Arabidopsis thaliana: one gene and its partners. The protein of the gene in region 4 interacts with the protein of the main gene of each other region in a pairwise test. Each region holds a gene or a part of one and is shown on either strand. Other genes may lie near its edges. The genes, in order: RUS3, UTR3, UTR2 and AT4G21570.

Region 1 (8,187 bases), on a different chromosome or scaffold from region 4:
TATAACAGTCACCAAGATTGCAACTAACGATTCTCTCATGTCTTCTAAGACTGAAACAATTCGAGCGGGCACAAGAAAGATGCAAAAAGACTAGCAATTGGATTAAAAGAAACAGAGTGAGGACATTATAACTAACTTGGTTTTGCTTTGAATCTTTCGGAGAAACTCAAAGATTGAAACTTTGAAGAAGATTAGATTAATAAGAAGAGTCTTTAATAATTAGAATATCCAGTCTTGAGATTCCCCCTCAATGATATAAAAAAGTCAAGACTTTGCTCGTCAACGGCCAATTTACATTGCACTGGAGTAGAAGAATTCACATCAAGTTTTGATTAGCGGAATTTTAAATTGCTTAAATTTAGTGAACTCGAGATTTTTTAATGTCTGAATGAGAAAAAGATTACTCAAGAATTTAACATAAACAAGATTAATACATTGGATCCATATGACATTCATGTAAAAATCCTTCTTCTAAGGCGTGCTATACATGATCTCTAATCCAAAGTGTCAATGCTTTTGGGATATCATATGGGCCATCCAATGAGAGAAGAATAATAAGTCCTTTGTTGTTGTTAGGCCGTTTTGCATGAAATCCGAGTAAAGAGAGATAAATCAAGTCACTAAAAGTATAACGCCTGCGGTTATTGAAATATATTTATTTATTTTAAGCATTCATCATATATGCATGCATATACAAAGGAGTTTTCTTTAAGATGCCAATTTGCAATAGCCTTGCTTTGAACATTTCATGTTGCAATCAGTATCTACTTGGCAACGAACATCATTATTCATCACTTTAACCAAATTACAAACACAGTCGCATTGGTTGCTGCAATAACCTCCCTCTGGGCAATGCGCTTTACAATCACTATCATTCTTACAACATGGAGGTGGTGGTCCACGATAACCACCACTACCACCACCTGGACAACCGGTGCATCTTGGTTCATTCGGCATACATGAGTTTTGGTTGACAGAAGTTTCACTGTTTTGAATGCTAATTCCATTTTCTGCATATATTAATAAGAGATAAGAAACAAAAAAAAACATATTAATCAATGAAAAACTATGTAAATAAAAAATACTAAAAGCACAAAATGAAACTTTAAATATTTTTTGTTTACTTACGGGTTACGGCAAAAAGTAGAGAAACCAATAACAACAATTTTAAGGAAGCGATCTTCATTTTCAAAGTCGATGTTTTTTTCCTTCACTGGAGAAGTTTTTGGTTGTTTGGTAAATCTTGCAATGGTGAAGTTGAAGGTATTCTTCATCGATTTTTTTATTTTTATAGTCCAGTTTAGGCGATGGTTAGATACTATTTTTTTTAATATTTACACGTGGAAATTGAAGTATAATTGTTATTGGATTCTTTTGACTAACAACAAAGTTCTCATAAACATGGAAATCTAATTAAAGTTTTAATTAATACTAGATATGTTTACCAAATAAGAGTTGCAAAATTGGAAATAAAGGATTTTTTTCGATTTAAATGTCTATCTATATATTTCTTATCAGATTTAGTGGACTATGCTTTATATTAGATGATGATTGACCCACGCAAATTTTCTAAAATCATTAGTCCAAATGCTTATGTCTAAATAAGTATTGGATCAAAGAAAAATCAAAGATGATTTTATGCTTAAAAAAAAAACATAATTTAGTGACCAAAATACTATTGAATAGGAACAAAATCGAGATCTATCATTACATGTTGCTACAGGCACGGTGCCCTCTTTATAACTTTAAAACATTTTGAAAACAACAAAAGATTACACAGATTCAGAAACGAAATTAATTTGATCCATTATTTAAAACCTCTAAAACCTTGATCCATTTTAAGTAATAGACATCGACCCACTTAACCACTGAACCGTCTTATTGAGTAATTTAACCGGAAAATTTTACTGAACCAGAACCTTCCAATTGAAGAAGAGGCTTTAGTGAATCATCTTCGTCATCGATCATCAGATTCTTCAGATTCGCAAGTAAAAACTAAGAATCGACCAATCGTTTATTACACGAATACTTACTTATAAAGACAATATTAAATAAACCAGATATTTTTATTCCAATTAACCGTCCAAAATAAAAATAGATAGCCGTTTTATTTTAATTTCTCCCTATCCTACAAAGTGAAAGTCGCCAGTATCTCTTTGTACTCCCTCGCTATCTCGAAAGAGTCGTGGATGACTGCGTCGCTGCTTCTCCTGTACTCGAACTGAATGGTAGAGTGATCGACGACAATTAAGGTGACGAACCCAAAGTCCTTGTCGCCGAGCAGGCTCCAGCTGGACTGCATGCAAGAGAAATCATCTAGACTGGCTCCTCCACCTCCCGCAACAACATGAATAGTCCCGTTTAATGGCTCCTGCAAGGATGGTTGGATGGCGTGATCCCGAATACATACATACAGTTTTTCTCAAATAGTTGTGGCCAAAATCCAAATATGTACCATGTGTTTTCTCTGTTATGAACCTAGGTGATATTTGAGCACTAGCTACGATAATATTAGAACTAATTTGATAAGAAAATGGAATGTTTTTTTCTTAAATTTTTCTTAAGTTTTGCTTAAGTTTTGCTCAAGTTTTTCTTAAGTTAGAAAGAACTTTTGGGTTCGTCATTTCTTTTCTGAGAGGGAATTAAAAAGTCAAATTTGTTCTTGCTTTTTAGCTGCTGTTCAAATTCAGAATCTTGTCTTCTTCTCTCTCAATTTGTTCCATAGATCTAATCAGTTGAAATAATGAATCTGAATACTATATATATATATATATATATTCTAATATAATACAATGATGTTTGCATATACTTTTAAAAGACCCTGACAAGAAGAGAAACTAGTAACACATCAAACTTTAAAGAATTTGTAAAGAAATTTAAGACTCATTGCAGAGAAGAGAAGCACAAAACCTCGTAGTAAACCTTGATGAGGAAAAGACCTTGATAGGCGTAGAACACAGTAGAGGTGGATCGACATATTTAACTCTTGTAAGACAAATCGAAGCACTGTAGAAACAAAGAAAAAGGTGCAATGTAAAGCTTTTATCATATAAAATAACACAAAGCTTTACATCAAATCCGAGAACTGTTGGAGAAGCTTTGACATAAGCTTCTTCATTCACATCAAACAGTGTCCTATGAATTGCAACTCCTGACAAAGGTTGCTTTCGATGAGATTTTCCCTCTTGAATTGACACAAGAGTCACCAAAACATCAACAAGTTTCCCATTTCTCACAAGAAGATCATGAAAACAAATGTCTGAAGATGAAGATGAATGTGATACAACTGTGTTCTAGAGATAACTTGTAGGAAACAACATTTATAAAGTTGGTGACTGATGATCAAAACCTAGAAACATAGGCACAAAGCATATAAAGATATGGTGATCATTAGCATTAACATTCCTTTCACACACTTCCGTGACTTGTTGGTTTAAGTGTTTCTAAATCTAGAAATCCAATTGGGAGCCAAAAGAAGACTATGATGTGGACATGTGACCTGCGTTTGCCAAAAACGTACCTTTTACTAACCCAAAGTCCAATCACATTTGGGTCATTGGACTATTCAATTGCAATTGAAACCCAACACAAAGTCCAAAACACTCATAAAGTCTAAACATTTGAATAAGTGATTCTTTTCACTCGTAAGAAGCCAAAATTCGCCATGAGAGAAGAACAAGTCTCTGATTGCGGATCGATTACTCTTGAAGAATGGAATGGTTCTTCTTCCACTAAGCTATTCAAAACAGCAACCATCACTGCCTCCTCTTCTCTCTCTATCCAAAGGTTCTTCTTTATTCCTCTTTGAAATCAATCCAAATCTGATAGTTTCAGTGGATTCACAACAAAATTGAGAAACTTTCTTGGGTTTTCGTCTCCTGTGAGTGATTCATAGGTCTGCTAATCGCTTTAATCATGTGTGGAGACGAGTTCTTCAAGCATTTGTACCAGAGGCAAGTGTTTTCTCTCTTTTTCCCTTTAGAATCTGTCCTCCGGATTAGGGTTTGGCTGAATTGTACTTTGTCTAGTGCAGGGCTTTCCTGGCAGTGTAACTCCAGATTATGTAGGGTTTCAGTTATGGGACACATTACAGGTATGTGAGAATATGCTTGTATGCCTTATAGCTACTGTGAAATTTGAATTGTGACTCTCGGCTATGTTTGTTGCAGGGCCTCTCAACTTATACAAAGATGATGCTTTCCACTCAGGTGAGCTAAAGCTAAAGTTTTTGAGCTTCTGAGTTCTCTATTTTGGTCCAATTTGTCTGCTGCAGCATTTCTGATTTGGACTATTTTCAGGCTCTTTTGAGTGCAATTGGCGTTGGTGAGAAATCCGCAACTGTTATAGGTGCTACATTTCAGGTGAGTTTTTCCATTGCTTACATATAACATTTCACACTAGTTCTCTCAAGAACTATAAAGCGCAATGGAGAATAGTGATTCTATCTTGTGTATTATGCAGTGGTTTCTGAGGGATTTTACTGGGATGCTTGGAGGTATATTGTTCACATTTTATCAGGTGCCTATGTAGCAGATTCTTCCCAATCATAATACACATCGATTCTCTTCCCTTTTCTTTAAGATTTAGATTGGTTACGTTCTTATTTAATGGGAACTGTTCTGTTCTTCAGGGTTCCAACCTGGATAGCAATGCAAAAATGTGGCGCCTAGTTGCTGACCTTATGAATGATATTGGTATGTAAAAGTTAGTTGTCACATCACACTTGATACTAATTGCCTGTATTTGGTTCTCAGTTGAATGACTACAAGCTTTGTTGCTTTTATTGCAGGAATGCTAATGGACCTTCTTTCTCCTTTGTTTCCATCTGCCTTTATCGTTGTGGTTTGCTTAGGGAGCCTATCAAGATCATTTAGTGCGTATCATTTCTTGCATCAAACATTGAAGTTAAGACTTCGGTTTGGATTGATACATCGGTTTTTAACTTTTTTCAATCTTGGCTATTAGCTGGTGTTGCAAGTGGAGCAACCAGAGCAGCTCTAACACAGCACTTTGCTCTTCAAGACAATGCAGCGGATATATCTGCTAAGGTACTCTTTACTTCTTGTCACTGTGAATGATATAGAAACTATAAATGTGAACTTTGAGTAATTCTTTGCTTCTATTTTATCTATTGAAAGGAAGGAAGCCAAGAGACTATGGCAACTATGATGGGTATGTCATTGGGAATGTTGCTAGCTCGGTTTACCTCTGGAAACCCTATGGCTATTTGGCTTTCGTTTCTCTCTCTCACCGTGTTTCATATGTATGGTAAGTCACAAATGAAGGTTAAAGCATAGATCAAATCAGAATTTCTCTCACTGTTTGCCTTTCTTATATATTTAGCAAACTATAGAGCTGTCCGGTGTCTTGTATTGAATTCATTAAACTTTGAGAGGAGTTCAATTCTTCTAACACATTTCATTCAAACTGGCCAAGGTAATTTCGAAATGCGCCATTGATTCTTTCAAGTTTTCAGTGGCTTTCCTTTGTTTTTTATTGGTTTCTCTTTATTATTGCACCATATACCAATAACTTTCTTTAACTAAACGTGTTGCCAGTTCTCTCTCCCGAACAGGTTTCTTCAATGGAGGGTGTATTGCCCTTGTGGGCCACTTCATTGAGGTCAACGAATTCAAAGCCATTGCATAAGAGAGTGCAGTTAGGTGTGAGAGTTTCCTCTCTCCCTCGTCTAGATATGTAAGCTCTATACTAGATTATCATAATTTTCGGGTAAAGAATCGGCTCAAGCTTGACATATTTGTGTGCAGGTTGCAGCTGCTAAATGGTGTTGGAGCTTCTTCATACAAGAATGGTTTGATTGATTTATTTTTCCACAATCTTTCAAGGACATTAGTTTCTCTGTCCATACTTGACGTAAGCTCGGTTCTTGTCTGTTGTTGTACACTCCTGCAGCTAAGTATTTATTGGCTCACATAAAGGGAAATGTTAGTGTGATCTTGCACAAAGATTCAAAACCTGCAGATGTGTTGAAATCATATATTCATGCCATTGTTTTGGCAAACCTTATGGAAAAGAGCACATCTTTTTATTCAGAAGGAGAAGCTTGGATTGATAAACACTATGACGAATTGCTCCACAAGGTAAGATTAAATCACTAGGACCAGTTAAACCGTGTTTTTATGACACTAAAGCTACTGTTTTCACTCTTTTTCTTTCTGTTGTTTCCCATGTAGCTGAGATCAGGAGGTTGGAAAACAGAGCGTCTTCTTTCGCCTTCCATTACTTGGAGAGCTAATTGGATATCTCACACTTCCGCTGCTAAGTTCGACTGAGCTTTATCGCCTTTCAAGATCAAAATAGTTTGTTAACTCGTTGCAAACATACAAAAATATGTTAGTTCTAAGTCATGTAAAACATGTAACCGATACCGGTTTAACCGTAAAATGTCGGTTTAACATTGTATAACGTTTGTTATTAATGGAAAATTAAAGAATTATAATAATGGCAACCGTTTTATTTTTTTGGAAACGCAAAAATTGGAATCGGAACCGCTTCGAACGTATAAATACTTCAATTTTGTGATTCTCTTTCATTATCACTTCATGTTCATCGTTTAGCTCGTAGCTGAAGCTAATTCCACAACTCCGGCCAATAATTCCGCCGGCGAATGGAATCCACGGTGAGTATTTCGTTTATAGTCAGACACTTGTACCCTAGTTTTTGGAATTCGATTAATTTATTGTTTGTTAATGCTATTAGGTCATGCCTGGGTTTGATAGAATTAGCGAATTGCCGGAATCTTTGATTAGTCAAATACTGTTACACCTTCCGACTAAAGCTTCTGTGAAGACGAGTGTTTTATCGACTAGATGGAAGAATCTATGGCTTAATGTTCCCGGACTTGATTTGAACTGCCGTGATTTCCCCTTTCAGAACAACAACGAAAAACTGTTGATTGATTTCATTGACAGATTTCTCCAGTTTAACAATGAGTCACGTCTTCAAAAATTCAAGGTAGATTACAGTAGAGATAAGATCATTAAGTTCTCGGATCGGATTGGTGACGCGATTAGCCGCGGGATTCGAGTTTTAGATGTTGAGAGCAATACCTATTATCGAGATGCTGATGATTGCATTGACTATCCTTGTATCGAGTTCATGCCTCTGAATCTTTATTCGTGTAAGACATTGGTTTCTTTGAAGCTTTCGTATTCGGGTCTTGAGGATCCAGGGTTTGTCTATTTGCCTTGTCTCAAATTCATGCATCTTCGAGAAGTTCGATGGGATAGTAGTGGTACTATGAATCTGGAGAAGCTTGTTTCAGGTTGTCCTGTTCTTGAAGAACTGATTTATCTTCATGATGATAAATTGGTGGTTACGCGTGTGAGATCTCGAAGCTTGAAGAGGTTTTCTATTCCGTTTAGGCATAAACTTTCTTTGTTTAGGAGAGTGACACAGACATTTGAGATTGATGCTCCTGGACTAGAGTATATGAGTCTTAAAGCAGACCATTTCGATAGAATCGTGGTAAAGAACCTTACTTCTTTATTCATGATTGACCTTGATATCAAATTCATTGTCGGGTTTGGCTGGATGTTTGATCCGGAGGACTTACCAAAGAGAAATGAAATCCGTGATTTTCTCACCGGGATATCTAGTGTAAGACATATGGTCATCTCTCATAATACAGTGAAGGTATATATTTTTGTACAACAAATTTTGGTCTTTTTCTACTTGGGAAACTCTCACTAGCATCCATTTTTTCCTTTCCTTCTTGTTGCAGGCCCTTGATCTTTACTCAAAAGTAGGACTGATTCCCAAATTCAATAACTTATCCCGTGTAGAGGCTGCGTTCCCGAGCTCCTTGTTACAGTTTTTGCCAGCCTTTCTTGAGAGCTTCCCGAATCTGAAACACTTAATCTTGGTAAAAAAACTTAAATGATTTTGGCGTAACAACATTGTGGCTCTTGTGGATGTTTATAATTGAATACCTAGCTTTACTTTTGTTGGTGTTTTCAGGAAACTGAATGTCCAGTGGAGGTGATGGAGAAGTTTGAACTCGTAAATGTGCCTCGGTGTTTCGTATCGACTCTTGAACATGTTGAGATAAAAGGATTGTTTGACTGGGGGGAACAGGATATGAAAATAGCGAGTTACTTTCTCGAAAACTCAGCAGTCCTCAAGAAACTGATTCTGAGTTTCATGGGTTGTCCTCAACATTATTCG
Region 2 (7,440 bases), on a different chromosome or scaffold from region 4:
CACTCATTAATCACGGTGAACCGAAAAAGGGCGAGAAACCGAACTTACCAACCACTCTTTATGACCTTGAAAACCTTCAGGCTTAAGCTGCTTAACAGCAACAACGATTCCAGAACCGGGACGTGAAGCAGTGAGAGATGTTTGATCAATCCATCCTTTGAATACACAACCGAAACCTCCTTCCCCTAGTAGATTATCTTGACGAAAGTTCTTAGTCGCGTTCTTGAGTTCGTTGAAAGTGAAAGCTTTTAGGTTAGGCGATGAAAGTATCTCTCCTTCTGTCCTAAGTGTTGGTAATGGCCCAAAACTACTATCTGTGCTGTAAGAAGTTGTGCTTAGTCCTGAAGGACCCGTTGAACGGCTTGTCTTGCTTGAAACTTTAGAGCCCGAAGAAGCTATTAAAATGATCATTCAAACATAGTAAAATCTCTTTAGTTTGGTGTGTTTTCAATCAAACTCATGATGCTAAGAACATCAATACAGATACAAACATGGATCAAACACATGTACTAAACAGAGCAATTCAAAAGAGTTTGACTTTTGATGATCCAGAGATGGACAAATTACTTATTCGAAAAACCCATTTTGAGAATAAGAAGAAATATCCAAGAAACTGTAACATAGAACCCAATTAAGCAATAAAGACTTGAGAGGAAATAGTTACCAGAATTAGCATGTGGGCTATGGTTGCTATTATCCACTTTAGCTGATGAATCTAAACAATTACCCATTTCAGATAATAACCCTATATGGAGAGACAAAGCTACTGTTCTTTTCGTGGAACAACGTAACAGATGATCAAGACAAGAAGAGAGCCTCAAGAAGCAAAGACAACAAGCTTCTTCTTTCTTTAATTTCTTTCTATCCTTTCGACTTAACGGCGGCGCAATGTCTGTTTAGCTGAATATGAACGCTAATAGAATAAAAGTATTACAACATGAAAGGAAAATCTATATAAAAAAGAAGGAGAGAAGAAGGAACAAGGAAGGTGAAGAACAGAGGATTTGAAGCAAATAATACAAAGTCGTCGTGTCCTTTTGTTTTGTACTCAAACTCATAACAATTTCTCAAAATGACAAAATGCCCTCGAGTTAGTTCCTTTAGACGGCCATCGGAAAGGACAATTTTAGTAATTTGAGATAGATACGGTAACGTCATGCTCACGGCAGTAAATCCGCGTGGGATAATAAATGGTACGACAACTTTTCAGAGATAACTCATTCATTCATTCAGTAATCGAGTGATAAACTGATAATTTCTAGGAGGATTGGTGGTGGACAAAAAGTCGTGTTTCACATCTAATTTTCAGATTTTATAATGTATCAATCAACGAAAATTTCCAAATTCTTGAGATAAAAAACATTTCAAAAAGTAATCAAAGATATTTATTTTGTTATATTTTAAAGTTAATAATATTACACATATGAGACATGACTTTAAACTTGTCATTTTTCAAACAGAAATGAAATGAAACAAGACTTGCTTGAAAATATTTGTCTCTGTTTCATTTTTACAATGTTTCTTTAGAATTCTTGTTTTCCCATCTCCATCTTTTAAATGTTACAGGGAATTATATTAGATTGTTCAAGTTTTTTTTTTTGGTTAAAGTTAATGGCTCAAGTTATTAGTATTCATGATATTAAATTCATACATGAAACAGCTTATGAATACTTTTTGTTAGTCTGAAATTTAGAATTTAAAAAGAATTAAAAGGAAGTTGTGGTTTTTGTTTGGTGTTTTTTTTAACTAATTATGGTCATGGTTGACGTCTGCTAAGGGACAACAAAGTGGTGGGTCTGGATCGCCCATATCGTTGAAATTTTGATCGATATTTTACAATAATACTTACTATCGTTCAGTCACAATTATTAGCGAGATTCCCCTTCAATCAAGATGTTAAGTGTTTACAACTTTTCTTTGGATGTTATATTTATGTTTAAGAAACTTTTACATACACTTCCAAATTATGAGAGATATCAAAACCTTAGAATAAAATTTGGTATTATGGACGATTTTATCTTTCTGAGACGTATTGGATTTACTATTAGATTATTGTGCATATGGCATGCATGCATTAGATATATATAGTCTTTCTTCGATAAATAAAAGTTTAGTCAATGGATGAATCAATCTTTATGTGTAGATCTTTTGTTGATCAACAGGTGATCAAGATTTAAAGGACCCGAAATTAGTTACGAAGTATTGTGGATTTTTCGCATTCTAGTTGACCAAATGAATAATTAAAGTATGAGATTCAACTCTTAAATAATATTTTTGTAAAATTAAGTTTTGAGTTAAGAGACAACGTTAAACCGTCATAATTTATGTGTGTTATATATATAATCGTCAAACCATGGTAAATAACTAAACGCATAGTAGACAAAAAATTTGTAATCATAGATGTAGACGACGGTAATCATCATTTAGATTTGAATTTTTAATGGAACGTGGTGGCTAACGTCGAATACATTTTTGGTGTATTTCTTAAATATAATATCCCATGCATTGACCCAAGAAACTACTTATTAATCAGTTAATCTATATTCACATTGTTATTGACCGGCAGATCGAAAGAGAGTTCTTTTTTCTTTTGCATATTGCATATCACGTGTGGACAAAAGCCCCATTTGGAATCTTTTATGATATTATATTGTTATGTTACACATTAATTTGTTATCTCACCAAGACTTCTATTTTCATTTTGTATCCGGTAAGAGTCACTCTTTTGAGTTTTGACTTTTGACTCTTCAAAATGTATAATTGGTTCTCCCATGAGGATTAAGTATGTCATATAAATTCCGTTTCCCAATATATATAACTTCTATTTTCATTGAGATATAGTATAATATTATTCGTATAGAAAATTACTCAAATCATAATGAACTATGCATGAGTGCATGCATGTGATACCTTGTTTTAATATAATGGAAATTCGATATTTCAAACTTTTCTCGCTATGTTGACGTTATTGTCACATTTACTTTAAGATATATCATATTTTGTTTTAGTAATCTTAACAATGGGTCATCACTAAATTTTAATCAATTAAATCATGTTGGCAACTTTCCTCCATTTGTGTATATACGCCTTTTTCTTTCATTTTCTTACCACAAGTGATCTTAGATTTGTATGAATTCATCAGTTAGTCAAACTGACATGATTAGCTGTGTGCAAGTTTGCTTAATCAAATTAAGGCCCAAGCTGTAAAAAGAACATCCGTTTACAAGTTCTAGGAAACTGCGTGACGTTTTCATGACAATAAAACGGCACATAGTTCCCATTCCTATCTCAGACATGAATGTGCATATGACTTGGATTCCAGAAATAAATCCACGTCCTATAGCCAATCAGAAGTGTCATGTCAGATTATTAAGCCAATGACACAGTTACACGTGGAAAATCTACGTCTTTCTCGCGCCTCCTACACTCTCTCTAATAACTTTCGTTTCCACTTCAGACCGATCTCATAATTTGATCGCAAAACTGATCAAATAGCGTAAAATTGAAATTCAAATTTTCGCCGGAGCTCCGTCGGATAAAACAATAAGCGACGTGCGGCGATGGAATCTCACGGTTCCGGTCTCCGGCGAGTTCTGTTATTGTCGTTCTGTGTCGCTGGGATCTGGGCAGCTTACATATACCAAGGCATTCTTCAAGAGACCTTGTAAGTAAAACTCGTTAGGGTCGAAATCGATCAATCTTATTTTAGCTCGTTGATTATTTTCTCTCGACATTGCTCGATTCTGTTTGTTCGAGATTGTTTCTATTCTCGGAATCCTGGTTGGTGATGCGTTTGCAATTATTGGAAATTTATAGAAATGTAGCTGATAGAACTCTAACATTTTCGAATTAGGTCGACGAAGAAATTTGGTGAAGATGGGAAGAGATTCGAGCATCTTGCATTTCTGAATTTGGCTCAGAATGTAATCTGCTTGGTTTGGTCTTATATAAGTGAGTAGGGCATCTTCATTGTTTATTCCTTAGAATTATAAGTTTATAACAGACGAATAAATGGAACTGAAGTATTTTTGATTGATTATGAGCAGTGATTAAGCTCTGGTCCAACGGAGGTTCTGGTGGAGCCCCATGGTGGACGTATTGGAGTGCTGGCATTACTAATACCATTGGTCCTGCTATGGGCATTGAAGCTTTAAAGTATATTAGTTACCCAGCTCAGGTAAATTAGGCATTGTTAGTGTAATAAAAACCTCATTTTTCTTGATTATGGTTGATAGTTGAGGTAATAACCTTTCTTGGGAAGTAATATTGATGCAAAACTTGCTTCTTGCAGGTCCTTGCAAAATCTTCCAAAATGATTCCAGGTGAGGTGTCAATTTAGAGCATCAATCCATAATCGCTCTCAACTGCTGCTATGTGTATCTTATATATGTTTTTTCTTTCATGTAGTTATGCTGATGGGCTCCTTAGTTTATGGCATAAGATACACTTTGCCTGAGTATCTTTGCACCTTTCTTGTTGCCGGAGGAGTATCTATGTTTGCCCTTCTTAAGGTAGGCAAATCTGCATTCAGGAACTTTGATCATAATCTTTGTTATACTTTGTCTGTGGAAATGTAGTAAACCGTCTTTGACTTGGTTTACAGACAAGCTCTAAAACCATCAGCAAGCTAGCACATCCCAATGCACCCCTTGGTTACGGGCTTTGCTTCTTAAACCTTGCCTTTGATGGATTCACAAACGCAACCCAGGATTCCATTACCGCAAGGTATGACTCTTGACATTCTGTCAGATACTTAACCCAGTCTGACATCTACAACATGGTCTAGATGTTGGACATTAATCATCGCCATACATGGATACAGGTACCCCAAAACTAACGCATGGGACATAATGCTGGGAATGAATTTATGGGGAACCATATACAACATGGTCTACATGTTTGGATTGCCACATGGGAGCGGATTTGAAGCTGTGCAGTTCTGCAAGCAACACCCTGAGGCAGCATGGGACATTCTTATGTACTGTTTATGCGGTGCAGTAGGCCAAAACTTCATCTTCTTGACAATAAGCAGATTCGGGTCTCTAGCTAACACGACCATAACCACAACCAGGAAGTTTGTAAGCATCGTGGTATCTTCAGTTTTGAGCGGGAATCCGTTATCTTCCAAACAATGGGGATGTGTGTCGATGGTGTTCGGTGGATTGTCTTACCAAATTTACCTGAAATGGAGGAAGCTGCAGAGAATGCAGAAGAAGAAAAAGGCCTGAAGCTGAGATTGGGGATCAAAATATTTAATTCTTCAAGAAAATTGTTTTTGATTTGGAAACTTTTTACTTCCAAATATGTCTGAAAGTTAGAGAGAAGAAAGCTTAGTCCATTAGCAAAATGTAAACTAATGCATTAGAAGAAACTTATATATATCAAACCAAAAGACAAATCATATATTTCCACTCATATATATTTGTCTTAACAATACAACAAACTCTTCCTTCTGAGTTTTTCATTTTTCCTAAAGTTACACTCTGGAAAACTTCTTTATATATATGTGATAGAGATTCTGTACAGAGATGATGAAAACAAATCAAGAAATCTGGGGAAAATGCTCAGATGATGTATCTGAGTAAAGCCCTTAGAGACAAACCAAAGAATTTTTTCTTAAAGACACACTGGTGCCTTCTTTTGTAGATGGCTTCCTTATGTTAAGTAAGAAAAGAAAGAGAAATCTGAATCTGAGTATATGGCAGATTCTTGAGAACATTCTTTGATGGGGCTAGAAAATGTTACCGTTAACATTCTAGGACCAGGAAAGAAACTTAAAAACCTTGAGGGAGGAATGCAGATCATGGCATGCCCGCTTCACAAAAACTTCCAGGCCGATATGGCTGCAAAACCTAATATGAAATCTAAGCAAAAGTGGAAAAAATTACGTCTCCATGGAGACTAAACCGCGGTTTAGGGTATGAGAGAGATGGTTGGTTGGTTTACAAGCTATGGAGAAGGACTCTTTTGCAAGGGGGTGGTTTTGAAGGATTAGCACTTGGACATGGAGATGAGGACTCGATCCCTAGTGTTTTTAGCAGGAAGCTCCTCTCCTACAAAAGCAATCAGTCTTTTAAGACTCATTGTTTTTTCAAAGCCTAAGTATTGTATGATGAACAAAGAAGGTGCGAAGCTTACACTTTCGGAGAACTGTGGACTTGGTATACCGTCTGCCAAAGATCTGAACAATGGCGTGACCTGAATAGGCGAGCTGAACTTTTCTTCGCCTGAGATGGGCATATTCTCATCAGGATTTTTCGGGACGAGCAACTCCTCTCCAACTTGCTTATGTTCTGTCTGAGTATCTGCTGAGAATGGTTGTGTTTTATCACCAGACTGATCCACCATGATGGTTGATCCGGAACTATACTCAGAGCTAGCTGGTGAGTCATGAAGATCAGGTTGCCTAAAGAACATCAAATGAAATGGTTATACAATCAAAACCTTAAGATGAACACAAAATTTTTGTGGTGATGAAAAGCTACCTCCAAGATAATTGATTGTCTTCATAACCACTCCTCAAATCCTCTATAAGGTCCTTAAATTCCTCGATCTTAAAATCTATATCAGGTATTCCATATCTGAATAAATCATTCTCCTTGCCTTTATTCAAGAAGTCCTGAAGAACCTGTATATATGCATACAACAAGAGGTATGTTATTAGTAAGCTTGAAACTTTTCGCTATTTTGATATGCTGCGAAGTTTGTTGTTTTTTGGTTTACCTTCCAAGCATTCTCCATACTCTGTTCTGTGTTGTCTGCATTAACTTTCTGCGCCAAGGAGCTTAAAAGTTCAGCTTGTTGCATCAAAGCTGTCACTTTTGGATCATCCTTCTTAAGAAACATCCCTTCACCATCACTCTCATTCACATTGCTTGTTTGATTCTGTTCTTCCAAGCTATCAATACCAGTGGCATTTCGAGCTAAAACCGAAAATGGAGACCTTATCTGCTGATTCACACATGCCTCGGCCCTTCCATAGTTACTGATCTCTGTGAGATCTAGAATGTGACTTCTCCTGTATAATAACCAACAAACCCCCATGAAATTTGTGAAAAGTGAACACACTCAGGAAACTTAAGTTTATTTGATCAAAAAAGAAACAAAACTTACTTCAATTTCTTAGCAATAGGAGTTTCATTCTCGGATTTTCGCGGTGTACTGATACCGTCTAAGAACAACATTCTTTTGGTGTTTGAGTTGCTGTCTTTAGTCATAGCTTCATGCTTGGCTCTCTTCTTACAAAGTGTTGTAAACCTGTTCTTCACAGCATTATCAGTTCTACAAAACACATAACGAACAGAACATTAGTTTAACCACTCTGGTCTTATAATGATGACTTCACCTACACCTTTAGAGTTTGAGCTTGAGCTATACCTGCCTGAAACCACCTTTGCTATCTCAGTCCATCTATTACCAAATACTCTTTGTGCCTGAGAA
Region 3 (8,399 bases), 590 kb from region 4:
AAACTAGTACAAATCTAATGACAACATCTACTGTATCATCTAAATTCATGAAAAATAAGTCTAAAAAGGATAATAATAAATTACCACGTTAATGTTGAGCGGTTTCAAGCATAATGAACGGCCGTTAAGTGAAATGGGCCCTAAACTATAGTTTTTTTTGGGCTTCAACTAATCTGAGCTGGATTAACTTTAACGTAGGAGTGGTAAAGTTAATACATATAGAACTAATCAGTTTAAAGTTAACCATGACTTGAGTCACTAGAGATCTCATGCATCCTCCTAATTTTATATTTAATGAAAATTGTAACAAATTTCTCTTACAATTTTTTTTAAAAGCAAAACCTAATTTCTGTGCATAAATATATCTAACCTCGAATCCCAAAAATTGAATTATTGTTTCAGTAAGAAAAGAAACCCATAATTTAGGAAATAAACCGAATTCCCCTATGTAATAGAATTACGTACCAAATCATTGTTGCTGAGAGAGAGACGCTTGAACGCATGGAGACAATTTCGATATTTGAAAACTTGTTTACTAATATATTGTTAGATTTTAATAATTTGCATTTGTTGCACTAACCAAAAATTGCGACATATTACCTATAGTTTGTTTTTTTTGGGGGCAAATTACCTATAGGCTATATCACTGCATTTTGTAATCACACGTAGTCACATAGGACATATATATTGTATAGTTCTGTTTATTGTATACAAGAAAGTCATACTCGTGCTATGTTCAGTTATATGCCTTAATATTAATAAGCCAAATTTAACGATATAAATATAATTTACTAAGTTTTAGGACTTGTATATAAGTTGTACAGTAGTACTACTTGTTTAAAATTATACGTATAAGTGTATAATTTTTTTTTCTTTTCTTTTAAAAATTTAGTTTTATAATATTTTAAAAATATTCCTAGCAAAGAAAGAATAATTCATATATGCTGACTATCACGTCTAGTTGTAGTAGTAGCTACACAAATACTTGAATTTGAATTAATAAGTATATAGATAAATTGTACAAGTATCACCTATTATAAGTTTGCCAACCCTGTTTTGCGCATGATAATACGGCAGTAACAGTGTCCATAATCAATAATAACACAAAATCTTATTAAAAATTCGTATTTTATTTAGAAGAAAAAAACTAATTCATCTATGAAAATTAGAAGGAGACGTAACCGCTAACTAGTGTAACTGGACCTGCCTTCGGTGTTTGGTAAGATTCCGGTACTCTGTACAAAATGGCTGAAGCTAAGGCCCACACTATTTGACCGTACGTCACTGGATTGTTTCTCTAACGACTTTGATTCTTTTACTCGCTTGAGTTTGAATGTAAATGTCTGATTTTTTTTTAACAAAAAAGAATAAAATATATATCTACATAAATCTATAGTTTTCTAGCAATAATATTGTTGTCAATTTGTGAAATGTGATGGGTTGCTTGCATATGCAAAAGTCTCTCGATCGAAGTCTTCCGTTTATTATGAACCACACAAATGGTTTTAAGCAAGAAAAATATCTACGAGTAAGATCAATTTTGTTATGTGTAGAGATTATCATTTGTAACTTTATGTATTAATACAATTGCACGTAAAGCTTGACCTTCTAATAGAAATAAATTTGATAGGAAAAAATCTCTAATACCAATTGCAATTTTTTTGTTGTTGTAATATTGCAGTAAGCTCTCTCATTTAAGCCTTTGAACAAAAAATAAAATAAATATCAGATTTATTGTTGAGTTTCGCGTTGGTATTTCAAGAAAAGAATATGGTCTTTGGCTTTTGACCAAAAAAAAAAAAAGAATATGGTCTTTGGCTCTTTGCGACGCCTATATGCATATATGATATTTGTATGACTATAGACTCATAGTTAATTTATTTTCTATTCCATTTTAACTTATCAGTGTCACTAATCAAAGCTATTATTAAACGGTCTATTTTAAAACAAACCATTTTGTCTATATGCTATTTCATATACGACGATTATAATCGCTTCTTTAGAACTAATAGCCAATAATAATGTATATTTCGACTGTTCACCATACACCGCCACCTAATTCTTCTAAAACATTTCAATTCATTGACTAAATATCGTCATTATTTTGCTTACACATTTTGTATATGTTCCTCCAAATTTGTTCACTAGAGTTTTCAACTAGAACAAAACAACTACTCTGTTGGTGAAAGAATGAATATGCATGTGTGAAGTTTATTGCTCAATATGGATATAGAAGATGAAAAGAAAAAGAGTAAATTGATTTCTTTACCAAAACGTGTCCAGATGTTATGTCAATATGTAATTCTGACATGACCAGAACTTCTGTAACGCATTTAACAATCACTTCCGAAAATAACAAAAACAAAATTCAGGAAAGATGATGAAATTGTAAAAGACAGACTGTAATGGCGTCTATTGAGACAATGACTCAATCTGTCTTAAACCGGAAAGTTGACTCGTAAGCCATATTGATTATCTTTATTAAATTTTCCTTTTTATTCTCTTATTCTCTCGAAGTAGTAACTTTCTTTTGCATCAAATAAAGAAAATATGAAAACGCACCCCTAAAGTTTATCTTATTTTTTTTATTAGTGCCTCTAGTTTTCTAATGTGTAGAGTCAGTGACACACTTTCTTTTTACTTTATATCAAGATTTGATGATATCATATGATTTTAGACTTCTAATTAAGGTTTTTGTAAAAATTGTCACACTACTTTTTTGAATTCTTTCACTTTTTTTAACAAATGTTATTTAGAAAACATAGTCAATATACAGATCCTAAATGTAGATAAAAATTTACAATTTTGACTAGCAAGATCTGATTTGATATGTTTCTTATATATCAATTTTTACCCTTATTTGTTCCATTTTACTTTGATACTTTTTTTTATAGACAAATTTAGATAATTTTATTTGATAAGTCATAGCATTTATTTTTCTTATTTTTATACCAAAATTTATTATAAATACATTTTTCAAACAACACATATACAACACAAACTGTCATTAAAACCCAAATTTTATATATATATATATACCAAGCTGGTAATAATATGATATGATCGTAATTAGCAAACATGAGATCATGCAATAAAAGACTTAAGACAAAAAAATGTGCCACGCTGGTAATGCAAATTTTGTCGTGGTGTGTAGATAAACAAAAGTTTCAGACTTAAATCAAACATACATAAACGTTAAGGGTCTTACTTGCAAATTTGAGTTTTACCGGTAAAAAAAAGAGTAACAGGAAACGTAAAAAGAAGAAGAAGAACGCTCAATGGAGAAAAAACGTGTCCCGAAGTGGCAAATCACGCGACGAGTCTCTTCTTCTTCTTCTTCTTCATGCGTTTTCTCCTTCCTTCTTAAAAGCTCTCTTCTTCCTCCTCCTCTTTTACCAATACATCTATTAACTCTCTCTTCCCTCTTCATCAAGTTTCTCGAGGAGAGTGAAGAATTTGGTTTTAATTATTCTTTGATTACCCTTTTTGTGGTGTGGTTTTCGTTATTTCGAGGAGTGATAATAATACCGTTATGAGTCATCACTTTACATGTGTTTGATCAATTACTCTTAATTCACTTTCTGGGTTTCTTCCTTTGAATCTCTCCTCAAAGAAAAGAAAAGAAAAATGAAGGAGGAACAAACAAGATCTCTGTTTGGAATCTCTTTGTCTGATAAACCAACTTGGCAACAGTTTCTCATTTGCACTTCTGGTTTCTTTTTTGGTTATCTCGTTAACGGTGTTTGCGAGGTTCGTTTCTCTCTTTTTTGCAATTTGATTCGAGAATTTTGATACATAATCAATCAACGTTAATGTTTTTGTTTGTTCTTTGTCATAATTCCACATACCCAGCTCCTGAATCTCGTAAATTTATAATTTTTTTGCATTTTCAATCTCTTGCATGCTAAGTGTTTGATGTTTTGTTTCTGAGAGAAAAAAAAACAGAGGAAGAAGAAAAAATTGCATGACGAACTAAACTCTCTCCAAACTTGTGAGAGATCACAAAAAATCTGTGATCTTTGTAAAGAAAACAGATTTTAGAGAATGTGATTGGATCTACAAGTACTCATATATGATCATTGACTTGATTTATTTTTCTTTGGTTTTGCAGGAATATGTTTATAATCGTCTTCAATTTAGGTAAAAGTCAACTTTTGATTACTCTTTTAAGTTTTAGATTTGAACAAAAGTTAACAATGGGATTTTGCTCTGTCTTTGTAGCTTTGGGTGGTATTTCACGTTTATACAAGGATTTGTCTACTTGTTTCTAATCTACCTTCAAGGCTTTACCACAAAGCATATAGTTAATCCGATGAGAACTTATGTCAAACTCTCTGCTGTTCTCATGGGTTCACATGGTTTAACCAAAGGATCTTTGGCTTATCTCAATTATCCAGCTCAAATCATGTTCAAATCCACCAAGGTAATAGATCCACATTTCCCAATTACAGTCTCAATGAGTTTAAATTGAGTTTAAAGAATGATCGGAATGACCATCTTTCGGATGTTTTAGGTGTTACCGGTGATGATAATGGGAGCGTTTATACCCGGTCTTAGAAGAAAATACCCAGTCCATGAATACATTTCAGCGTTCTTGCTTGTTCTTGGTTTGATCCTATTCACATTAGCCGATGCGCAAATGTCTCCAAATTTCAGTATGATTGGGATTATGATGATAACCGGTGCATTGATCATGGATGCTTTCTTGGGTAATCTGCAAGAAGCTATCTTCACAATGAATCCTGAGACAACTCAGGCAAGGAAACTAAAGAAAACACGGTTCTTTCGGTTTTCCTTTACCGGTCTGTTTTGTTTCGTTTCTGAGATTAACTCTTGTTATGTGTGTTGTGCAGATGGAGATGCTTTTCTGCTCAACAGTTGTTGGATTACCGTTCTTGTTCGTTCCCATGGTTTTAACCGGAGAGGTTTTTCGTGCGTGGACTGCGTGTGCACAAGTAAGTAAACAACCTCTGTTCTCTTTTTTCTGGTTTGACTTTTGGTCAACCTTTAACCAAACCAAGTTAACCTTATGAGATAGTCGTCCATTTTAAGTGAAAGTGACAAAGAGTGGAACCTTTTATTTGGCTTTGAAAGTACTTCTATAGATTTGACTCGGTTTATGATTCAAACCGGAGTTGGACTCAGTTTAGAGAAAAAGTCAAAATTTGTAGGATTCTTGGTACCACGAAATGAGAGAGATCATTGACCGACGACGTGCCTCTGAATCTGCCAAACTTTTTAAAAGCCAAATTGTCTCTTTTAAATTCATTGATTCCATAACTTAAGTACCAACGTGGAATATTTTATAGTCAAACGGTTTAATGATTCATTGGTTGACATATTTAAAACCAATTGTGCTTTGTTTATATTTGCAGCATCCGTATGTGTATGGAGTGCTTGTATTTGAAGCCATGGCCACATTTATCGGTCAAGTCTCCGTTCTCTCGCTTATTGCTCTCTTTGGAGCCGCCACAACTGCCTTGGTAAATATCTAATCTTATCTTTGAATACTCATTTGTATTTTAATTGACTCAATGGTCTAAAATCACATTTCGTTGTGTGTAGATAACAACGGCTAGGAAAGGGGTTACATTGTTGCTGTCGTATTTGATATTCACAAAGCCGTTAACGGAACAGCACGGATCAGGCTTGCTGTTGATAGCAATGGGGATTGTATTGAAGATGGTTCCAATGGATAGTAAAGCTCCGGCCAAGATTCCGGCGAGACCAGCGGTTAGGATCGCAGGAGGCGATGGTGATAGAGAAGAGGACGAAGAAAGGAAGTCATTGGTTTGAGAATGTGCCATGTATTTATATATATTTTATCTCACAAATTCAAAGGGTTTATAGAATAATGTTGGATGAAGGAGACACAAAATAGAGTTAAAGTTGTGTCAGAGACTTGTTATTAGATTCTAAAGTGAAATTGCAAAAGATTGAGCTGTTAAATTGTTAACTATGATATGAATTATTTTTGTCATCACTCTCAGAAGAAAGCATTATTCGTCTCAAAGCCTATTCATAAAGCGGGAAACGCTAATGACTACATTCTAAACGACAGGATCAGTGAAGAACCTGATTCTATCTAAGATCCTCCAGTTTCTTTCTCTGATCTATGAATAACAAACTTATCGACAATCTTTACGGTGTTGACAGGATCCTGCTGCAATGTTGTTGCACACCATTTGCTTGGAAACCTTCTGTGATGACTCATTTTCACAGTCGATCTCGGCTCTGCATCCCAGTCCTTGTCCAGCTTCCATTCCTTTGGCACCTGTACTCATTCATCACATACACTCCTCTGTTTAATTCTATAATCACAAACTTTTTCTTTTGTCATTTCGAGAGTTGTTTTTCTCACCTTGTCTACTCCGAGAGTGAAGACTTCAAGGTCTCCATCAGGTTTGATGTTGGAAACGGGTGAATGATTTGTTAATTGGCGATCCGAAGTGAAGAAAATGCTTCATCAAAGTGTATGTGAAGCCAGTTGATGGATATATATAAGTAACTTCCAAAAACCAAAGATACAACAGGGGTTGAGAAGAACCCAAAAGTAGAGGAACACAGAAGCATAATAGATGGCTTGCTCCGCTTCGAGAAAGTGACTCCCATTCCTTTCTCGACAGATGTTAGTCCGTGTAACCGCCATCACCTATGTCAAATACTTTACTTTCGGCTGAAAAATAGTTTTCTATTTCAGCTAAAACGAAGGCTAAGTTGACGATTTTACCTCGGGAATATCAAATGCTGACATAAGATACTTGATGCAGGCAGGATATAATCCGAACGTCCACTGCTCAATACGGTCTCGGAGGCCAGTAGGGTCCGGAAAATGTTCATTTTCTACTGATTTGTACCACTGATACAATGTATGATACCCTGTGTAGCAAAAAGTTTGAAAATCTCAAAATCCATTAAGGTTTGATCACAGATACAAAAAAATATCAATTAAAGTAGGATCACATATTTTTTGTCCACTTGTGTCAATGACATTGTAATGAGGAAAGCCACAACATTCTATGGAAAGGAAACTGACCGGAGTTTGCAAGGAGCTTATGCTGAATACAGATTTCTATGCCGAGTTCCAACAGCAACATAAGAATCAAAGCAGCCATCAGGTGTGCAGAAACATGAAGAATTCCAATTAACAGTCGTTTCCTCCGAGATATTTTTGAGGGAACAAACATAATTGCAGTTATTAGCAACATAAGAACCCCGGTGAAAGACACATATGACTGCTCTGTTACATACACAAAGGAGCTCCAAACTGTGCCAAAGAAACTCCCCAAGTGGCCAGAAAATGAATCGCCTCGTAAGATATGGCCTAGCTCACACTGAAACCAACAAGGAATGAAGATAAAAACTTTCTCGTGAGTGCAAGTGAGCATAAAAATTTCTTCGCACAGGAAAAACACTACTACAGATATGCAAGGCCTGTCTCAGTTTGACCATTTAATAGTGGATGCTGACAATGTGTACCATTTTAACAAAAAAGTCTTAATGACCAAGTCAGGCTGCATTGCTGAGAAAATAAATATAAAATGGAGAAACAAGAAACAGTTCATATGAAAAAGAGTTTGATAAAGTCAAAGATGTGTAAAACCGCACCTGAGGGAACAAGGAAAAGACCAAGAGAAAGTATATGATGCCACCAATGAAATCAAATTGCCAGTTCTTTTTCCTGAACTTTAAAATATTTCCCAGAGCAATCTGCAAATAACAGCAAACAACATAAAATATCAGAATGCAAAGAAAAGAAGGCGAATCAGTAACCGTGGATAAGAGGTTCAAGAAACAAGAAAAAGTTTACCCTGCTTGAATCTTCAAATGAAGGATAGGCAGATTTACTTTCATAAGAAGCACCATAAAACTTTGAAAAGCAGCGGAACACATGGGTGGGATGCAAAAAAGCCCCTCCACAGCCATTAACAAGGAGATGTGGGACATGAACAGGTCCATCTGATTGAGTACATGAATGACGCATATAATGATGCAAATCTCCTGCCATTCTAAGTTTACACCTTCCTTTCAAAAATTCGAATATCAGGTGTCGCATGTTCTTTCCAGTATCGTCTTTCCAATACCAATCAAGAAGCCAGTTCGGCTCATGTGTGATAATGATCACTGCATCATTCTCCCCAACCTAAATGAAAAGATAAAAACATTGATCAAAGCAACAAAATTAGAATTCAATAGTATCAAACAGAAGACACCAACTCTAATATTGTCGTTTCACAAACCAAAGAAAAACCCAAAACCAATATCACAGAACATCATAAGTTGTGAACAAAAGAAGAAAAGAGCTCGAGTTGATGGGAATATATTTTGTATAGCATCCGCAAAGTCTATTTAGCCTGAGAAAGAAAGATGATGTTGAATCTACCTTCTCCTTCACTAAT
Region 4 (5,755 bases):
TTTTCGCGTTTGAGATTTTATGCATTCGACTCTAATCATATAAATTGTGTGTCTAAAAGTCTACTGAAAATAAATGTATATATTTGAACATGTTACGTACATCAATTTATTTATTATACAATGATTTAACGTCAAAATATTAATAGAGCTATGAGATTAGGTATATTTAGATAACAAATAAAAATAAGAAATAAATTAGAAATAATTTTAGGACAAATATGATGGATCAAAGATTTTTACATCGAAATATATTGTCGGTGTGGCTACAGAATTACTATGAATAAGTTCATTATGGTGACAGCTATAATTTGGGAGGAGAAACAATCGTTCGGGATGTTGATCAGATTCATTTTGTCGTTGAGCATATATACTTCAACCTCATTGAAGGTAATAGATGAATCATTAGGATGCATTCCATCCAAGTCAACGGATATCATGTAATAATTAATTACAATAATGAGTCTATCTATATATGTGTGTTTTCAGTACATAAACTTTACATCTTCTTTTTCTTTTTAGGATCACTCACCCATAAAACTTTAATTCATATGAGCTGTCCGTATATATACGGTCCCCCGGTTAGTAAAGGATTTAATGTTTAAATTTTATTTTGTATCAAATACTATTTACTAATGCAATTTATCATTTATATTTATTTTTCTATCTCATTACCCGAGAGATTACTCTCAAATTTGTGGTAGACGTGTAAGTTTTATTTACAACATTTTATTATTATTTGTTGTTTTATGTTAACTTAATACTTTCTCTTTTCGTTTTCTATTTTCTAGTCATATGGAAAGGATGATATTTACAAATGCCAAAGTGGCAGCAGCGGTAGCAAATTATTTGCCCGATGTGCTTTTTATTTCACTTCGGAGGACTATCTCTCCATTTCGTCACATTAAGTACGTTTTGTTTCGTAAATTACTTATCAATTAAATTTATATATTAATTTGTTTACAATATTCTTGGAATGCCTTTACTCAGAGATATCATACGATATTTGATTTTGGGCACCGCCAAATCGGATTTTCTCTCGCCACTTCCAATTACGACGACCTGGACCACGAAGACGACGTAGACAACGAGGACGACGAGGACAGTGTGGACGACGTGGAAAGACTCGTTCACTCATCAACATTAAGCTTTGTTTTTTTCGGTAAGAACTAATTAAGCTTTTATTTTTTTCTTTGATAATGAGAACTAATTAAGCTTTTAAGACCTTTCATGAGTGTGTAATATTTTATGAAATATCTTTATAAGATTTAACTGCTATTTTTTGTGTTTGCGTTTTTATGCATTTGACGTTAATCACATAAATTGTTTGTACGGTTTCGTAACATTTCAAAATGCTTAACATTAGAATCTTGTTTCATCGATCTTTTATTATAGTAACAAGCGATTGTTTTTTTTGTTTTGAGTACATTTGAAAGTAACGGAAACTTAGTAAAACGAATTCACGAAGAGAAAATGAAAAGTGATTAAGTCATCTCCTCAACAAGCGATTGTTATAAAGTAATAAAATTATTTAGATGAATTGGTTGTTTTAAAATAAAAGGTTGAAAATGTTGAATAACTATTTATTTTATTTTTACGATTTGAAATGAATAGGTTGGAAAATTGATTCAACTCATTCAACAAAAAAAAAAGAAAAATGAACAAATTATAAAAGAAACTTGTTCAACCATTTCATCTACTCTTTTGTAGATGAATGAGTTGAATAATGTTCAACTTGGTTTTGCTGAAAATGGTTGCATAGAGATGAAATAATTGGAAATTTTGAGTTGAAAAATAAAAGTTGAATATTATTCAACTCATTTCTCTGTGAAATAGAAGATATACAAGTTGAAAAAATTTCTTTATAATTAGTTTATTTTTCCAACTTTTTAAGTTGAAAGGGTTGAATCATTTTTCCAACTTATTCATCTTAAATGGTAAAAAAAATAGATAAATGCTCATTCAACTCTTTCAACTTCTTAATTTTAGGCAACCATTTGCACCTATTTTTCCAATCATTCAACTATATGTCATTCATTTGGAGCAATTATATTTCTTAAATCTATATATTTATTTTTATTTCTGCTATAATTCAAACTGTCAAACCATTACCAATAAGATGTGGAGCTAATTCAACATAAGTATATAAAGTATATGAAATGTATAGATCTTTCCACTTATTTTCAAATGATTAAAATTGTACATGGTGTTAGAGCCCGAACAAACCCAAGATAAATGAGCATAAAGATGATCTCACTTCTAAAACCATTTTTGAACCACCATTTCTACTGCATTGCCATTTTTCTTACCGCCTTTTTTTTTTATTTTGATTTTCATAACCGCTAAAAAACTTTTCACCACATCATTATATTATTTGGTCCAACCAAACCAATGGTCCAAGATGGTGCCTTTTTTTTTTGGGCTCAAAGATACAAATCCTCTCTTTTGATTTCTTCTCTCAGCCCATGACGTGTAATGAATGAAGAAAAAATCAATAACTTACATCACAATCATATATCAATTTCATGAATCCTTGAAACCAAATACATACCATACCGACCTCTGTTTAAAAGACTTATCTTTTCTCCAACAAATGCGACAAAACCGTGTGGACGAATCAGAGAGACACATGTATACCAATGCCGACTTCTTTTTATGCAATCGTAGCGTCTCTCTCACGTGGTAAACGCGTCGCCATTTTTATAATACGACCACGTTTGTGACTCCATTAATGGCGGTCTCATGCTCCCTCAATTCTTCATGATCTAACTACTAAGAGATCTGATTCACTTTCTTCACACTCTCCGAGTCTCATCTTCGCTTCTTCCCTAGCTCTTATCTGGTTAGTTCCTCTCTTTCTCTCTCTCTGGTTAGCTAATTTTGCTTTGTTCAGATTTACAGAGATTTTGCTTATCTAGCTTTGAATCAGTCTTGGGAACATAGACAAAATCAGAATTCGACCTTTCAAATTAATGGGTCTGATTGGGTTTATCGAGTTCATCACCCGTTTTCCCAGTCATCTATAAAGTTTGAGTTTTTAATTCGGTTATATACTCTGTTTTGATACGGAGATATCTAATTGCTCCAACCATTTAGCTTTCTAGATCTCATGAGATGTTTGCTTTTCATTGTACAGTTTAAATTAATGTTAAGCTAAAGAGTGAATTTTGATGTGGAGCTATTTGGCTGAATATAATGCTGAAACATTTGTGAAGATTTAGATGTTTGATTGATTAGAATTCTTGTGCAAAGTCTGATGGCTTCTTGATGCTAAAGAGTTATGTGTATTAATTTTGATGCAGGACACAATGATGGACCTAACGAAACTGAAGCCTCCACAGATCACTTTTTATTGCTCGGCGTTTTCCGTCTTGCTCACACTTCATTTCACGATACAGCTTGTATCGCAGCATCTCTTCCACTGGAAGAACCCTAAGGAACAAAAGGCTATACTCATCATTGTGCTTATGGCTCCTATCTACGCCGTTGTTTCCTTTATTGGTTTGTTAGAAGTCAAAGGAAGTGAAACCTTCTTCCTCTTTCTTGAATCCATCAAAGAATGCTACGAAGCTCTTGTGAGTATATTGTTTTATCGCTTGTGTTAGTATACAACATATTGTAGAGACGACACTTACCAATTTTTTTCGATATTTTGCAGGTCATTGCCAAATTCTTGGCATTGATGTATAGTTATCTAAACATATCTATGAGCAAAAACATTTTGCCTGATGGAATCAAAGGAAGAGAGATTCACCATTCTTTCCCAATGACTCTTTTTCAGGTTCGTCTCTATCTTCATTGCATGATTTCATCTAATATCTATTTGCTTCTTTACCCTTAAAAGCTTTGTGTCTATTGTTTTGACAGCCTCATGTAGTCCGTTTGGATCGTCACACTCTTAAACTTTTGAAATACTGGACATGGCAATTTGTGGTCATTCGACCCGTGTGCTCCACTTTGATGATAGCTTTACAGCTCATCGGGTTTTATCCTTCATGGTTGAGCTGGACATTCACTATCATTGTCAATTTCTCGGTTTCTCTGGCCTTGTATTCTCTTGTGATATTCTACCATGTGTTTGCTAAGGAGCTTGCTCCTCATAATCCACTCGCAAAGTTCCTCTGCATCAAAGGAATTGTCTTCTTTGTCTTTTGGCAGGTAATGTTTGCATTAATCAGTAAACCCCTCAAAACAAGATTTCTCATGTTTGGATATACTCATAAGATTCTTTTGATTCTGAAACTGCAGGGAATAGCACTAGACATACTGGTGGCAATGGGATTCATAAAATCTCACCATTTCTGGTTGGAGGTAGAACAAATCCAAGAAGCAATTCAGAATGTGTTGGTATGTCTTGAGATGGTTATCTTCGCTGCGGTTCAGAAACACGCTTATCATGCTGGTCCTTATAGCGGCGAGACCAAGAAGAAACTCGATAAAAAGACCGAATGATTTGGGCGTTAGAGTGGACATGGACTGGTTTTAAACCAGCCATTTTTATAGCCAATCTTTGGTGATCTTGTATGTTGTTATGTTGAGGAGAAAGATCTAAAGGTTTTGCTTTACAACTTTTGGTTTCCATGATTGGGGAAAAAAGAAACAATAAAGTTGAAAATTTAGATGATATGAACAATAATGTTAAAGCCACTACACTTTTCATCAAAAGAAGTAAAGAACACTACTCATATTAATATCTTTCCCGTATGCATGAAATGAAACTTTTTCACCATTGTTACTCTAGTCTTTGTTCAATTGTTGTAAAATCAGTTCAAATACTCAAATTCTTCTTACTTCTGTGACAAAATAAAACACTCGTTCTCATTGAGTAGTAAAATTCGAAAGTAATGTTGTTGAAATCTTAAAAAAAATCATCAAATTATTTTTCATGATTCTATCGTTCTGAATTTGTAACCAATCAAAAGCTCATTTATGTATGAAAATATTAAAATAATTTATTTGTGAAGATAAAAATTGGAGTAATGTATTAATTGAAGGAGGGTAAAAAAGTCGCACGTAATATACGGGAAAAGGCGTGCGAAAGGACTAAACACAAAAAGTCTCTGGATTGAATTGGTTTGGCTCTCTGCTCGAACGATTCTCTCTGATAACCCGATTGTCAACTCCACAGCCCACAGGTCAGATTATTTCCGATTTAGGGTTAATCGAGTTCTCGTTTTTCGAAATCGATCAAATTTATATTTAATTTAATTTGCGCGAGAATCGATGGTGATTGATTTGTTGTTGATCCAGACAGAGACAGAGTTCGTTGCCTTGCCTCCGTGTTGTTTTGTTCATACCGCGTGAAAAGCTTTCATCATCAATTCATCATCATAAAGAGGTGTCGTGTGAGCACACGCAATCTCCCAATCTCTCTTCTCTCTCTCTCTCTCCAATCTCCATATCTTTGTCCTCTATAATCCGGAGAAGTAGCTCTACCATCGAAATCTCCCAACTTGCTTCCTTGTGAGTTTCTCTCTCACTTCATAAATTATGGTTTTTGCTTCAGTAGAACGTAGAAATTTGGTATTTTGATTGTTGGGTTTCAATGATTTAGGGTAAAGATTCATTGGGTTTTCTCCATTTCTAGCTTTAGTGATTATGATCATGATTTCATATCATCCTCTCTCTCGGTTTTTGTTCATCAATGTCTTCTGGTTCTTGAGATAACCTCCTAAGCTTTTTGGTTTAATGATTCCTCTTTTCTATCTTCTATGATCACCTGCATTTCTCTTGTTTTGGTTAGATGTTAATCTCCTTA

What was found.
Region 1: the proteins of AT4G21570 (region 4) and RUS3 interact in a protein complementation assay, tested with the Arabidopsis thaliana proteins (one large-scale study listed by BioGRID).
Region 2: the proteins of AT4G21570 (region 4) and UTR3 interact in a protein complementation assay, tested with the Arabidopsis thaliana proteins (one large-scale study listed by BioGRID).
Region 3: the proteins of AT4G21570 (region 4) and UTR2 interact in a protein complementation assay, tested with the Arabidopsis thaliana proteins (one large-scale study listed by BioGRID).

What each region holds. Positions count from the first base shown.
Region 1 is NC_003070.9:4,718,053-4,726,239, forward strand, and holds RUS3 (root UVB sensitive protein (Protein of unknown function, DUF647)), read left to right. Parts: upstream 1-3,521; 5' UTR 3,522-3,664; coding exon 3,665-3,786; exon of another isoform or gene 3,787-3,895; coding exon 3,896-3,953; intron 3,954-4,033; coding exon 4,034-4,093; intron 4,094-4,169; coding exon 4,170-4,208; intron 4,209-4,298; coding exon 4,299-4,361; intron 4,362-4,461; coding exon 4,462-4,518; intron 4,519-4,630; coding exon 4,631-4,694; intron 4,695-4,789; coding exon 4,790-4,873; intron 4,874-4,965; coding exon 4,966-5,048; intron 5,049-5,138; coding exon 5,139-5,268; intron 5,269-5,343; coding exon 5,344-5,436; intron 5,437-5,558; coding exon 5,559-5,697; intron 5,698-5,768; coding exon 5,769-5,812; coding exon of another isoform or gene 5,813-5,913; coding exon 5,914-6,101; intron 6,102-6,194; coding exon 6,195-6,293; 3' UTR 6,294-6,463; downstream 6,464-8,187. Other genes in the region: AT1G13750 (Purple acid phosphatases superfamily protein), read right to left, coding at 1-39; AT1G13755 (Defensin-like (DEFL) family protein), read right to left, coding at 709-1,010, 1,129-1,186; AT1G13760 (uncharacterized protein), read right to left, coding at 2,313-2,371, 2,911-3,049; AT1G13780 (F-box/RNI-like/FBD-like domains-containing protein), read left to right, coding at 6,629-6,640, 6,721-7,656, 7,745-7,885, 7,981-8,187.
Region 2 is NC_003070.9:4,909,150-4,916,589, reverse strand, and holds UTR3 (UDP-galactose transporter 3), read left to right. Parts: upstream 1-3,422; 5' UTR 3,423-3,560; coding exon 3,561-3,664; intron 3,665-3,853; coding exon 3,854-3,951; intron 3,952-4,046; coding exon 4,047-4,177; intron 4,178-4,291; coding exon 4,292-4,322; intron 4,323-4,407; coding exon 4,408-4,511; intron 4,512-4,603; coding exon 4,604-4,725; intron 4,726-4,822; coding exon 4,823-5,228; 3' UTR 5,229-5,497; downstream 5,498-7,440. Other genes in the region: APK2A (protein kinase 2A), read right to left, coding at 49-395, 665-731; FLP (Duplicated homeodomain-like superfamily protein), read right to left, coding at 5,943-6,053, 6,139-6,406, 6,486-6,628, 6,724-7,018, 7,114-7,281, 7,378-7,433. UniProt on the Arabidopsis thaliana protein: Essential sugar transporter required for the transport of UDP-glucose from the cytoplasm into the Golgi and the endoplasmic reticulum. Essential for pollen development and involved in embryo sac progress.
Region 3 is NC_003075.7:12,057,715-12,066,113, reverse strand, and holds UTR2 (UDP-galactose transporter 2), read left to right. Parts: upstream 1-3,255; 5' UTR 3,256-3,627; coding exon 3,628-3,750; intron 3,751-4,111; coding exon 4,112-4,140; intron 4,141-4,221; coding exon 4,222-4,423; intron 4,424-4,513; coding exon 4,514-4,756; coding exon of another isoform or gene 4,757-4,779; intron 4,780-4,825; coding exon of another isoform or gene 4,826-4,853; coding exon 4,854-4,955; intron 4,956-5,038; coding exon 5,039-5,179; intron 5,180-5,375; coding exon 5,376-5,483; intron 5,484-5,531; coding exon of another isoform or gene 5,532-5,565; coding exon 5,566-5,796; coding exon of another isoform or gene 5,797-5,807; 3' UTR 5,808-5,930; downstream 5,931-8,399. Other genes in the region: AT4G23015 (uncharacterized protein), read right to left, coding at 5,532-5,807; AT4G23000 (Calcineurin-like metallo-phosphoesterase superfamily protein), read right to left, coding at 6,467-6,652, 6,731-6,879, 7,037-7,334, 7,609-7,710, 7,811-8,143, 8,384-8,399.
Region 4 is NC_003075.7:11,469,820-11,475,574, reverse strand, and holds AT4G21570 (organic solute transporter ostalpha protein (DUF300)), read left to right. Parts: upstream 1-2,553; 5' UTR 2,554-2,839; intron 2,840-3,299; 5' UTR 3,300-3,305; coding exon 3,306-3,572; intron 3,573-3,655; coding exon 3,656-3,778; intron 3,779-3,864; coding exon 3,865-4,449; 3' UTR 4,450-4,740; downstream 4,741-5,755.